Linked DNA regions of Caenorhabditis elegans. The protein of the gene in region 2 interacts with the protein of the main gene of each other region in a pairwise test. Each region holds a gene or a part of one and is shown on either strand. Other genes may lie near its edges. The genes, in order: asd-2 and acdh-5.

Region 1 (4,920 bases), 110 kb from region 2:
GTCGGCTCTTCCGGATACCGGAAGTGTCTTCCAAAGAGACATAGAGACATATACACTTAGGATTTTACTGCTTGGTGTGACAAAATTTAAAAAATAAGATGATGTAAACGGATCGAAAAATGGAACAAGTGTTCCAGTAGAAGCGTTCGAAAGGGGATGAGCACGAGTTGTTCAAAGAAAAATTAAAAAATGTTATTTTTTAAAAATCATTTGAAGAAAGACTGAATGATAATATTCAGAAAATATGAACATTCTTGAAAACGAATCCATTTTTGACGTGAAAACATTTGAAAACATAATTATTGATTTCAACGTACACAAGGGAAGATCAATAAACCACGATTATAAAATCTTGCGAAGACAATCATTTTAAACTTCTACGAGTTTTGAAGTCTTCCAACTTGCACAAAATGGGTGCAAAATCATCAAAAAAGGCGAAAATCTCGCCACCAGCGGATCGATATTATACAAAAGTCGATATTGAATCTGGTCCCGCCGTTGTTGCAAAGTCTCAAGATTTCATATTGGAAGTGCCGGTCATTCCAGAAACATGCGAAGAATCGATTCCCGATTCAAGAATCTCTCGTGATGTCTCCGAAGTCTCACGTGTGTCTTCTGGAAGTGAGGTGGATGTTACCGGAAGTGGCGTTGACGATGAACATCTTGATATACAATCCAGTGATGATAGTGTTGAGTCGATATTTGATCCATTGTTATATCTTGCCAATCAGGGAATTGATGTAACTCATTCCAATATAAGGGAACTTGTATGCTCGGAAAACTATCGAGAATTTTTGAAACAGCGTAAAACCATGCTTACACCAAAGGAACTTTTCGAACTCGAACATGGAAGAATTCCTGGGAATTATGGTAAATCAAAACCAAAAGAAGAGATTTTGAAGGAAATTGATGAACTTGAATGTAAAGCTGATGATTTATTAACTGATTTGAGTGATGATGAAAATGGATGGCCAAAGTATGATATGAATGCTCTTCTTGAAAAATATGAAAATCACAAAGACTCGGAGCCCAATTTATTGATTCCAACAAAGGAGGATTATGAAAGAGATAGTGAGTTTCAGTTTATTTCATCGCAAGTATCGTTATTTTATTTCAGAAAAAACCTGCTGTCAGCAAGTTCTGAATAGCTACGAGTTTGACATGGTAGAGTCTTCAATCAATGGTCATGGGTTGGAATTCGAATGTCTGGTAAGTGAAATTATAATTAATAAATGCACTATAACTCTTTCAGGGCCCTGACGCAACTCGAACACAAGATTTTTGGACTCAGTGCCATAAAGATCGCATCAGCTTGATTACAATGTTTGGAAAGTTTTTGGAGAAACGAGGGGCCAACTGTAAGCAATATATTCCTGACGATAAACAAGAGATTCTCAAATGTGGACAGATAATTGTACGACGATTGACAGATCCAGAATATCCATATCGACATTGCAAAATTCAAAAGTTTGCAGTAAGATGCAAACTAGTGTAAGTTAATGTGTTCAGATTACTAATACTGATTTGATTTTAACTTTTAGACCAGAAAATTATGGTTGGTATGTTGTTTGGCACTGTCAACGAGATATTCAAGAATATCCATCAAAAGATTATACAAAAGAAGATGAAGAGTTTGAGAATCTTCGAAAAGATCTTTTGAATGATATGGTAAGCTTTTATCAAAAAATAAATAATAAATCTTATATTTTTAAAGCCAACTCAACACTGGCTTTTTCATGGTCCAATGCAGTTCAGTCCTCTCCGGGATAGACTTGTGGAGCGTAATTCATATCTCATTGAAAAGAAAGGATCCAGTGTTCCAGATTTCGTGACACAACCTATTCAGGCGGCCAACGCTAGGTTTGATTTCGATACCGTGAAATGAAAATCGAACATTCTTTATAGAAAGGCTCTCTACGAAAAATCTTGCTATTTGGGTTTCCTGACCTCTTCATCATCTCAGATCTCACTGTCTGGATGCCAATCAAGACAAATTGGCGGAGCTGACGAAGTTGAAAATCTCGTTAAACTGGAAACCGAGGAATTTGATCTACAGAAATCGCTCGGCTCATATCCAATTCAATCTCAAAACCGTCTGAATAATGTCATTCAAATTTATGCCAACAGTCCAGATCCAGAACAGACACAAGACTTTTGGCAAATGATTCTACATAAAGGAATTCCAACAATTCACACTATATCTGATTTAGACCCGGGTAAAATTTTAAACCTCAGATTTCAAAAAAAAATTAAATTTCAGAAGAAACTGCAAACTGTGCTTCCTATTTTCCCTACGGCAGTGAAAGTGAGAAATCATGCGGAATTTATACTGTTAAACGACTCGGAATTGAGACTCAATTATCGATGAACCTGAAGAAACAGCAACTTCTGATTTTCAAGATGGGAGAGTCTGAGTATCAAAATGTTGTTAATGTAACTCATTTCCACGAAATCGTCAAGAATCAGGTTACTGATTCGAAAGTTAGAAACATCGAAATAATCAATGAGCATGTATCACGTCAGGTTTGAATGATTCATTTATTTGAATTTATAACCATATCCTTTTTAGTCAAATCCTCAACTTCTGATTCATGGTCCCTAAGAAAACAACGCAAAGAGTTAATATTGAATACGGTATTCTAGATTTTTATGGAATTTTAATAAAGTGATATGGCTTTATTATTTTTGAACTGAAAGCATTGACCTTAAAAAAGAATAAGAGGGAGAATTGAAAATGTGAACAAACTCCAAACTTGCAAGTAAATACATCGAAGTGATGGTGAAAGGAGGAGAACATAATTACATACTTTGTCGGTATTTCTCTGACGGTCTCTCCAGTGAAGTCTGCACTATTTCGTTATTGCCCGATATTAACACCCGTGGTTACCCACATTCATCGATGTTAAAAAGTAGAGGAAAGAAGAATTCAATGGGAACTGGTTCAGATTTAAGAGATTACTGTAGGATTATAAAGCTCCGAACAAAGTAGGTAAAGGGGAAGAGGACCGAAAATAAAAACAATAAAAGGTAACATTTGTAAAAGGAAATTGAAGGATGGCCTTATGAATGCACCTTATGAATGCACCAATTTTCCGGTACATTGCTTGCATGATGGAATAATAGAATTGTCCGAGACACGAGAATAAAATTGGTGAAAGGATATTGGAAGAACTTTTCTCAAGTTAATGGTTTTCTACTTATTTACAGTTAAATACAAATTTTTAAAAGAAATAACAGCTTACCTGACAGCTCCTAGCACTTGAAGAATCGATTGGGTGGCGTGAAGACAGGAATACGGCTGGAAATTAAACATTTAAAACTGGAGTCATTTTTGAATTAATAAAAATCTATAAAGATAAAGTGAGCTAAGAAGCATAAGGTGTTTTATTTGCGAATAAACAAATGAGAAGAAACCGAATCGGCTGGATGGCAAGTTACGTAACACCTAGGCAGTCGGCATACACTTTCATTTTTCAAATGTATTGCAATGAGAAGGTCATCGTTGGAATGCGGCACTAAAAGAAATAAGAGGCAAGAATATTGAAAGCATACTTTCAATGAATGAATATTTTCCAATGGCAAGGTTTTTTAAATTTCAGTATTTTTCAAATAACTGACTGAAATTGTCCACATTGACAGAAATTATTTTGAATGTGATATCACTTGTTGCTTCGATTTGAGAAGCTCAGATTGTTTGGAAAAATAAGTTCATCGATATTTATAAGCTACCTCGTGTAAAAATGAAAATCTTCTCTTACTGGGGTGAGAGTTGCACCTCAAAAATATGAATAATTCTTGGAAAAATTGACACGAAAGTATTTTGGATAGGGTATTGGAAGGGTAAAGAGTATTAAGAAAATTTATTGGAAAAATTGAAAGTTTAGAATTGCTCAATCTGAATTAAGATTATATTAGAGAAAGAAAACGAGATGTGGGTTTTCCAGAAATTCGAGGAATAACAAGAGAATTTGGCAAATCCGCGAATCGAATTAAATATTAATTAGGGTTCGCATTTTCAGATTTTCAGAAATATTTTGAGCGAAAAGATTCATGCTAAATGTATTTTCGATGTAAAACACAAGTTTTCTGGAAAAGTGCTCGTAAAAGCTGGCTTCCCTATCGTATCGGTATAAATATATGTCAACTTTACATATTTCAAATTTATTGTAAAGTTCAATAAATTTTTCCAAAAGTAATGTCTCACTGCACGGTAGAGGGAATGAAGAAAACTATGAGTCCTCTACCACCACTAAATATGAATTAATACATGCCGCGTGCAGATTTAATTATAGTCATCATCTTCATACACCCTTTCTTTTAGTATTCGAACGAGAAGCAAAGGAAGAAGGAATAAGCTTAAATGAGTGAGAAGTGGACGAAGAGAAAGAGTGAAAGACATGATGATGAGCTCAGGAAAACTTATATGACGATAGATTACGGATTAGAGAGATTTAGACGGACAGAATGACAGGCGGATCAGTTGTAACGATGCCAGGTGACCTCTTATTCTTCTTTGCCCACTTTTCCGCACCAGTTGTTGCTATTTGAGGCCATCGGGAAGCACTAAAGGACCCCGACTTTGTCTCAATTGATTGGCTCTAAATGTCGGATTTCCGTCAAGAATTTGAAAAAATGGACGCCGCAAAAAACCTTTCTAGAAAATATCATTAATTGCAAAGACTTGATGAGAAGATAATCTCTTCGGTAACTAACTATGTTCAATATGGAAAACAATCCGAATGTAATTAGAGAATAAACACTTATCCATTCGATGAGCAGCTCAATATAGAACACACGCGAATAAAAATTGGAAAATCACTGGAAAGCCATCACTGACAACATGTGTGCGCGCGTATTTTCTTCTTTTTCCATCATCCGTCTCCGTTCAATCAACACTATCTTTTCGGGGTTCCCATGATT
Region 2 (4,706 bases):
TAACAATTAAAAAAGAAACATACATTTTACTTAACAAGTCGTGACAAAAACTATGAAAAATCGATGGAAATTCCTCGTTAACGAAAGTTTTAAAGCTACAGTACTCCTTAAAGACGCATACCTGTTTGTACTTGACATAAATTTTCGTTTCTACACTTATGTTATATTTAGTACGCGATTAAGTATCTTGTACAATAGTTGTTCTATCATTAACGTATACAATTCAATTCTTCAAGATAAAAATTCACCAATTACAATTTGCAATTTTCACAACCAAACAGTACGCACATCTCAAAATACTTAAAAAATAAATAAAAACTGTTTCACATAAAAGTAGGCAGGCATCATAAGGCAAGGATTTAGATAGTCAGGGCATCAGGGGGAGCTTTAAGCTTCCTGTAGGTTTGAAAAGATATAAGCAGGTATGGCGTAGACGGCATGAGGTAGGCACCTAGGCAAGTATGAGGTAGACGTTAGAACGTAGGCATGCGTCAACCTTGATGGCTTTTTCACTTTAATAAGATCTCTGAAATCACTGAACACACAATAAAAAATTTTATTGCGAGAATACTACAGAAAGGAAAATAGAATAGCTACGGAATAAATCAATCCTATGCCTTCTTCAGTTGTCTACGTGACTGAGCCTTATGAATGATTCTCATCATGACCTCATCGCAACCGGCTCCGATCGAGAAAAGACGGAAATCTCGGAAAGCTCTCGAAATTCCATTTTCATTCAAATATCCTGCACCTCCCCACACCTATAAAATATCATTTAGAAATTGTGAAAAGTTTTGTATTTGTTACCTGCAAACACTGATCAGTAATAGCTCTAGCCAATCTTCCAATCTTCAATTTTGCCATTGCAGTCAACATGCTCACATCATCTCCACGGCTTCGTGCCAGAACAGTTCGATACAACAGTGCACGAGTTGCCTCGAGCTCTGCTTCCAACTCAGCCAATTGGAATTGAATGTATTGTTGATCAAGAAGAGTCTTTCCGAAAAGCAATCGATCCCTTGCATATTCAATTGTCTCATCAATACATTTTTGAAGTGGAAGAAGGCCAACAGCAACAGTTACAAGACGTTCATCATTGAATTGTTTCATTTGATATCCAAATCCACGACCTTCTTCTCCAATTATGTAAGATGAAGGGACCTGCAGGATTTTAGTTTAAAATTGAAATAAATTTCTTACTATTGCTTTTAAAAAGTGAAAATATGTGTACTGTAATCACGCAACTAGGTAAAGGTCCTGAATTGATGCAAGAATGTTCAAGCACAAATAATCAACGAAAAACTAATATTCAAAACTCGTGGTGAACTTTTTTGTTGGTATTTTGAAATTATCATTGTTGAAAACGAAATAATTGTTTTTTGTGTCTCAAAACTCACGCGAACATCTTCAAAAAATAACTGAACAGTATCCGAACTTCTCATTCCCAACTTATCCAGTGGAGTTGATCTATGAACTCCAACAGCATCCAATGGAACACAAACCAACGATTTATTCTTATGAACATTCGATGTATTTGATGTGTTCACAAGAACACACGCCCAATCCGCCTGACCACCATTTGTAATCCACATTTTCGAACCATTGATTATCAAGTCAGATCCTTGACGACGTGCGTGTGTGTGCACAGCTGATACATCGGATCCAGCATGTGGTTCAGATACAGCCAATGAACTGACAAGATCTCCAGTGATTGATGGACGAAGGAATCTTTCGCGAAGAGCATCAGAACCTAATATTCAATTATTTCTAATTTTGGTGGTAAACGGAAATACTCACCAAACTGTGCAAGTGCAGGTGTACTCATATCAGTCTGAACCATAACTGACATTGGAATTGATCCACAATTAATTGCTCCCATCTGCTCAGCAATTGCTGTTGCCATTGCAATATCCGTTCCAGTTCCACCAAATGCTAAAAATCGTTGGTAAAAATGAGAAATAACACACCGTATTAATTCTATTATTCTTGCAGTTTTTTGTATCTTTAAGGTTTTCCTCCCACCAGTACTATCTTTTTAACATTTTAGAATGATGTAGTTTTACAGGCTCTTGACATTTTTAGAACCCAAAAAGTTGGTGTTCTGATATTCTAATTGTAACCTGGAAGTTATTCTTCCAAGTTCTGAAATCTACGCTTTTGGTTTTTTGTGGTAACACTTTTTCGTTTTGAAAAGTCCAATCAAATAATAATATTGCATGGATAACTAATTAATAAAACAAGTTAGCTAAAAAAAGCGTATTACCTTCTGGTTTATTAACACCAAAAACACCATGATCTCCAAGCATTTTGAATACCAAATGTGCTGGATACCGCCCGTCTTGTTCCCATTTTGCCACATTTGGATTGATTTTTTCTTCGATAAGTTTTCCCAAACTCTTCTGCATGACAAAATGAGTTTCATCATAAATCATATGTTCCCTGGCTACTGGCTTTTCCGATTTCGGAGATGTTGATGTCACAGCAACTGAGACAGAACGTCTCTGATTACCAAGATTCGAACTTCTGAACTTGTTCAAGTTATTTGCAGCTGCTCCCAAAGCCGCATTATTTTTGAGTTTTGCTGAAAATTTGCTCAATTAGACCTCATTCTCCAAAACTAGAAAAGCTTCATCAGTCTGAGCCGCCGTGTGTGCATAGTTCCCTATTTACGCATTTTCATCAATTGATTGAATAGACATAGAGCTTTCGATATCAGAATAAATTCCACCAAAACCAGAAATTCACTCAAACTTACTTAACAAAGCTTGAAACATCACGGCAAGAAACTACGAAGATGAGTAGTGTTTTAGCCAAGAAACTAAATAATGATTCATTTTTTGATAAGAAACCCTGAACAAATTTTAACAAAAAAAGAAGATTAAACATTAATTAGAAATTCACGCAAACTTTTTTTTGATAAATTTTATGCTCTTTGGAATTTCATTTACAGTGTCTACAACTCTGCAATACACCTACAGTACCCCTACCGTACCACTTAATATAAATAAGCCAAAATCTTAAAGTAATTCTACAGTATTCCTGAGATGATAATTCATTTTAATTTATTGGAATATATTAATTTTTCATCAAATAAGTAAAAAAAAATATTGGAATGATGTCCTTAATTTTTTGCGGAGTAATTTCTGCTTTTTTTCCGAAAATTTTTCAGTGTTAAGAAATTTGGAGAAGGCATTTTGTTTCAACTCACGTAAATACTGTGCTTTTATAGTTTCTTAATTTTAAAATTTGAATGATCGTATTGTTGAAGCTAACAGAAACCCGCATACTCGTTAAAAATTGTATTTCGTATAAACAAACAGACAAAGACGAGTTGGGAGCGGGGTGGGGCAGAGGATATGTACCAGTTACAGTACCTGTTAAAAAAGTTTAGGGAGAAAGAAGCCTATTTCAAAATTTCCAGTTTTATGATACAATAAAAAAACCTAAAACATAAAATAAGCACAAAGTAAGAAGGGGAAGTGAGATGAGTAAAACAAAACATTAATAAGTTAATTGTAAAAGGGGTTTAAACACATTACAAAAACATCAAAATTCGGTAAAATAAAACGGAAATGCATCTTTCGATTTTCGGAATTTGAATATTTTTGTAATATGGGATCACTTGTTAAGTGAAGTTTTTGATATTTTCCGGGGTGCAATCATATTGAAATGGCACAGACTAGGTGAAAGAGAGAAAGAGATTGAAGGAAAGAATTAACGGGGACAACCTGTGTGCATGATTATTTGAAGTAAGTAATCTACAGAAATTTCGATGATAAAAGAATCCTATTGCGGGTTATTTTAGAAAAGTCGTTGCGGATGAAGACGGCGAGCTTTTAAATGCTGAATCCTCTCTCGTTCGCTTTTCTGGAAAAATAAAAATTATGAAAACAACCTCTAATTCATGAATTTTATATATCCACCTACCACAATAGGTTCCATTGAACTCCTTTTAACGTATACTTGAATATTGTGTGAATCATCCGATTTTATTGATTCATGTTTTGGAATAACATCGTCAAGAAGTTGTCGTTGTTTGGCGAACGCCCGGCACACCGGTTCAACATATTCAATAACTTTTTCAAGTTGAGCCTGCATAAATCCGGTAGCCTTCTCAACAGCACAAGTTGGCTCATAGTTGACAAAAAGAACAGCAGCAGCGATGGTACGATAGGAGAAAGTAAATGAGTCGATCTCAAATAGCAGAAAATCGAGAATTTTACACATTTCAAGATATTCTGAACGGAGTAATTCTGGCACGTACATGTTTTGCTCTTCGTAGTGATCAGACTTGTTCTTCTGAAAAAATATTTTAATCAACAAAAAATTTAAAATCCTACTTTGCCGGTTCCGAGTAATTGAAGATATGTTGAGAGCCATTGAATACTTGTGATTGGCCCAAGACTCCACCCAATATACTTGACGATAAGAACTTCCATAGTTCGAATATTATCACAGGTGAATGCACTATCGGTGAGATGAGCAAAATCGATGCACTTAGGTGGATAAATTTCCTGAAAAAAAAAACAAAAATTAATGTGAATCTATACTGTGAAAAAATTAATTGAACCCAAATTCTAGATCGGTGAAATATTTTATTAAAATTATTACCAGGCTTGCCGGTTTTTTTGGATTTTTGAAAAAGGGTGTAAATCGTAATATAAATATTTAATTCCGTTTGAGAACTATCGATTTTGAAGTGTTTT

Evidence for each region.
Region 1: the proteins of acdh-5 (region 2) and asd-2 interact in a two-hybrid assay, tested with the Caenorhabditis elegans proteins (one large-scale study listed by BioGRID).

Annotation. Positions count from the first base shown.
Region 1 is NC_003279.8:6,888,844-6,893,763, forward strand, and holds the start of asd-2 (K Homology domain-containing protein), read right to left. Parts: upstream 3,301-4,920; 5' UTR 3,243-3,300; intron 2,680-3,242; exon of another isoform or gene 2,603-2,679; coding exon of another isoform or gene 2,570-2,602; intron 2,524-2,569; coding exon of another isoform or gene 2,261-2,523; intron 2,217-2,260; coding exon of another isoform or gene 1,906-2,216; intron 1,861-1,905; coding exon of another isoform or gene 1,715-1,860; intron 1,669-1,714; coding exon of another isoform or gene 1,542-1,668; intron 1,492-1,541; coding exon of another isoform or gene 1,253-1,491; intron 1,210-1,252; coding exon of another isoform or gene 1,118-1,209; intron 1,072-1,117; coding exon of another isoform or gene 411-1,071; exon of another isoform or gene 359-410; intron 42-358; exon of another isoform or gene 1-41. Other genes in the region: C48B6.4 (Tyrosine-protein phosphatase domain-containing protein), read left to right, coding at 411-1,071, 1,118-1,209, 1,253-1,491, 1,542-1,668, 1,715-1,860, 1,906-2,216, 2,261-2,523, 2,570-2,602. UniProt on the Caenorhabditis elegans protein: RNA-binding protein that binds to the 5'-NACUAAY-N(1,20)-UAAY-3' consensus sequence in pre-mRNA introns to promote alternative splicing.
Region 2 is NC_003279.8:6,782,976-6,787,681, reverse strand, and holds acdh-5 (medium-chain acyl-CoA dehydrogenase), read right to left. Parts: upstream 2,815-4,706; 5' UTR 2,775-2,814; coding exon 2,756-2,774; intron 2,582-2,755; coding exon 2,264-2,581; intron 1,933-2,263; coding exon 1,798-1,932; intron 1,751-1,797; coding exon 1,398-1,750; intron 1,162-1,397; coding exon 808-1,161; intron 762-807; coding exon 612-761; 3' UTR 543-611; downstream 1-542. Other genes in the region: cye-1 (G1/S-specific cyclin-E), read right to left, coding at 3,802-3,867, 3,928-4,299, 4,341-4,514.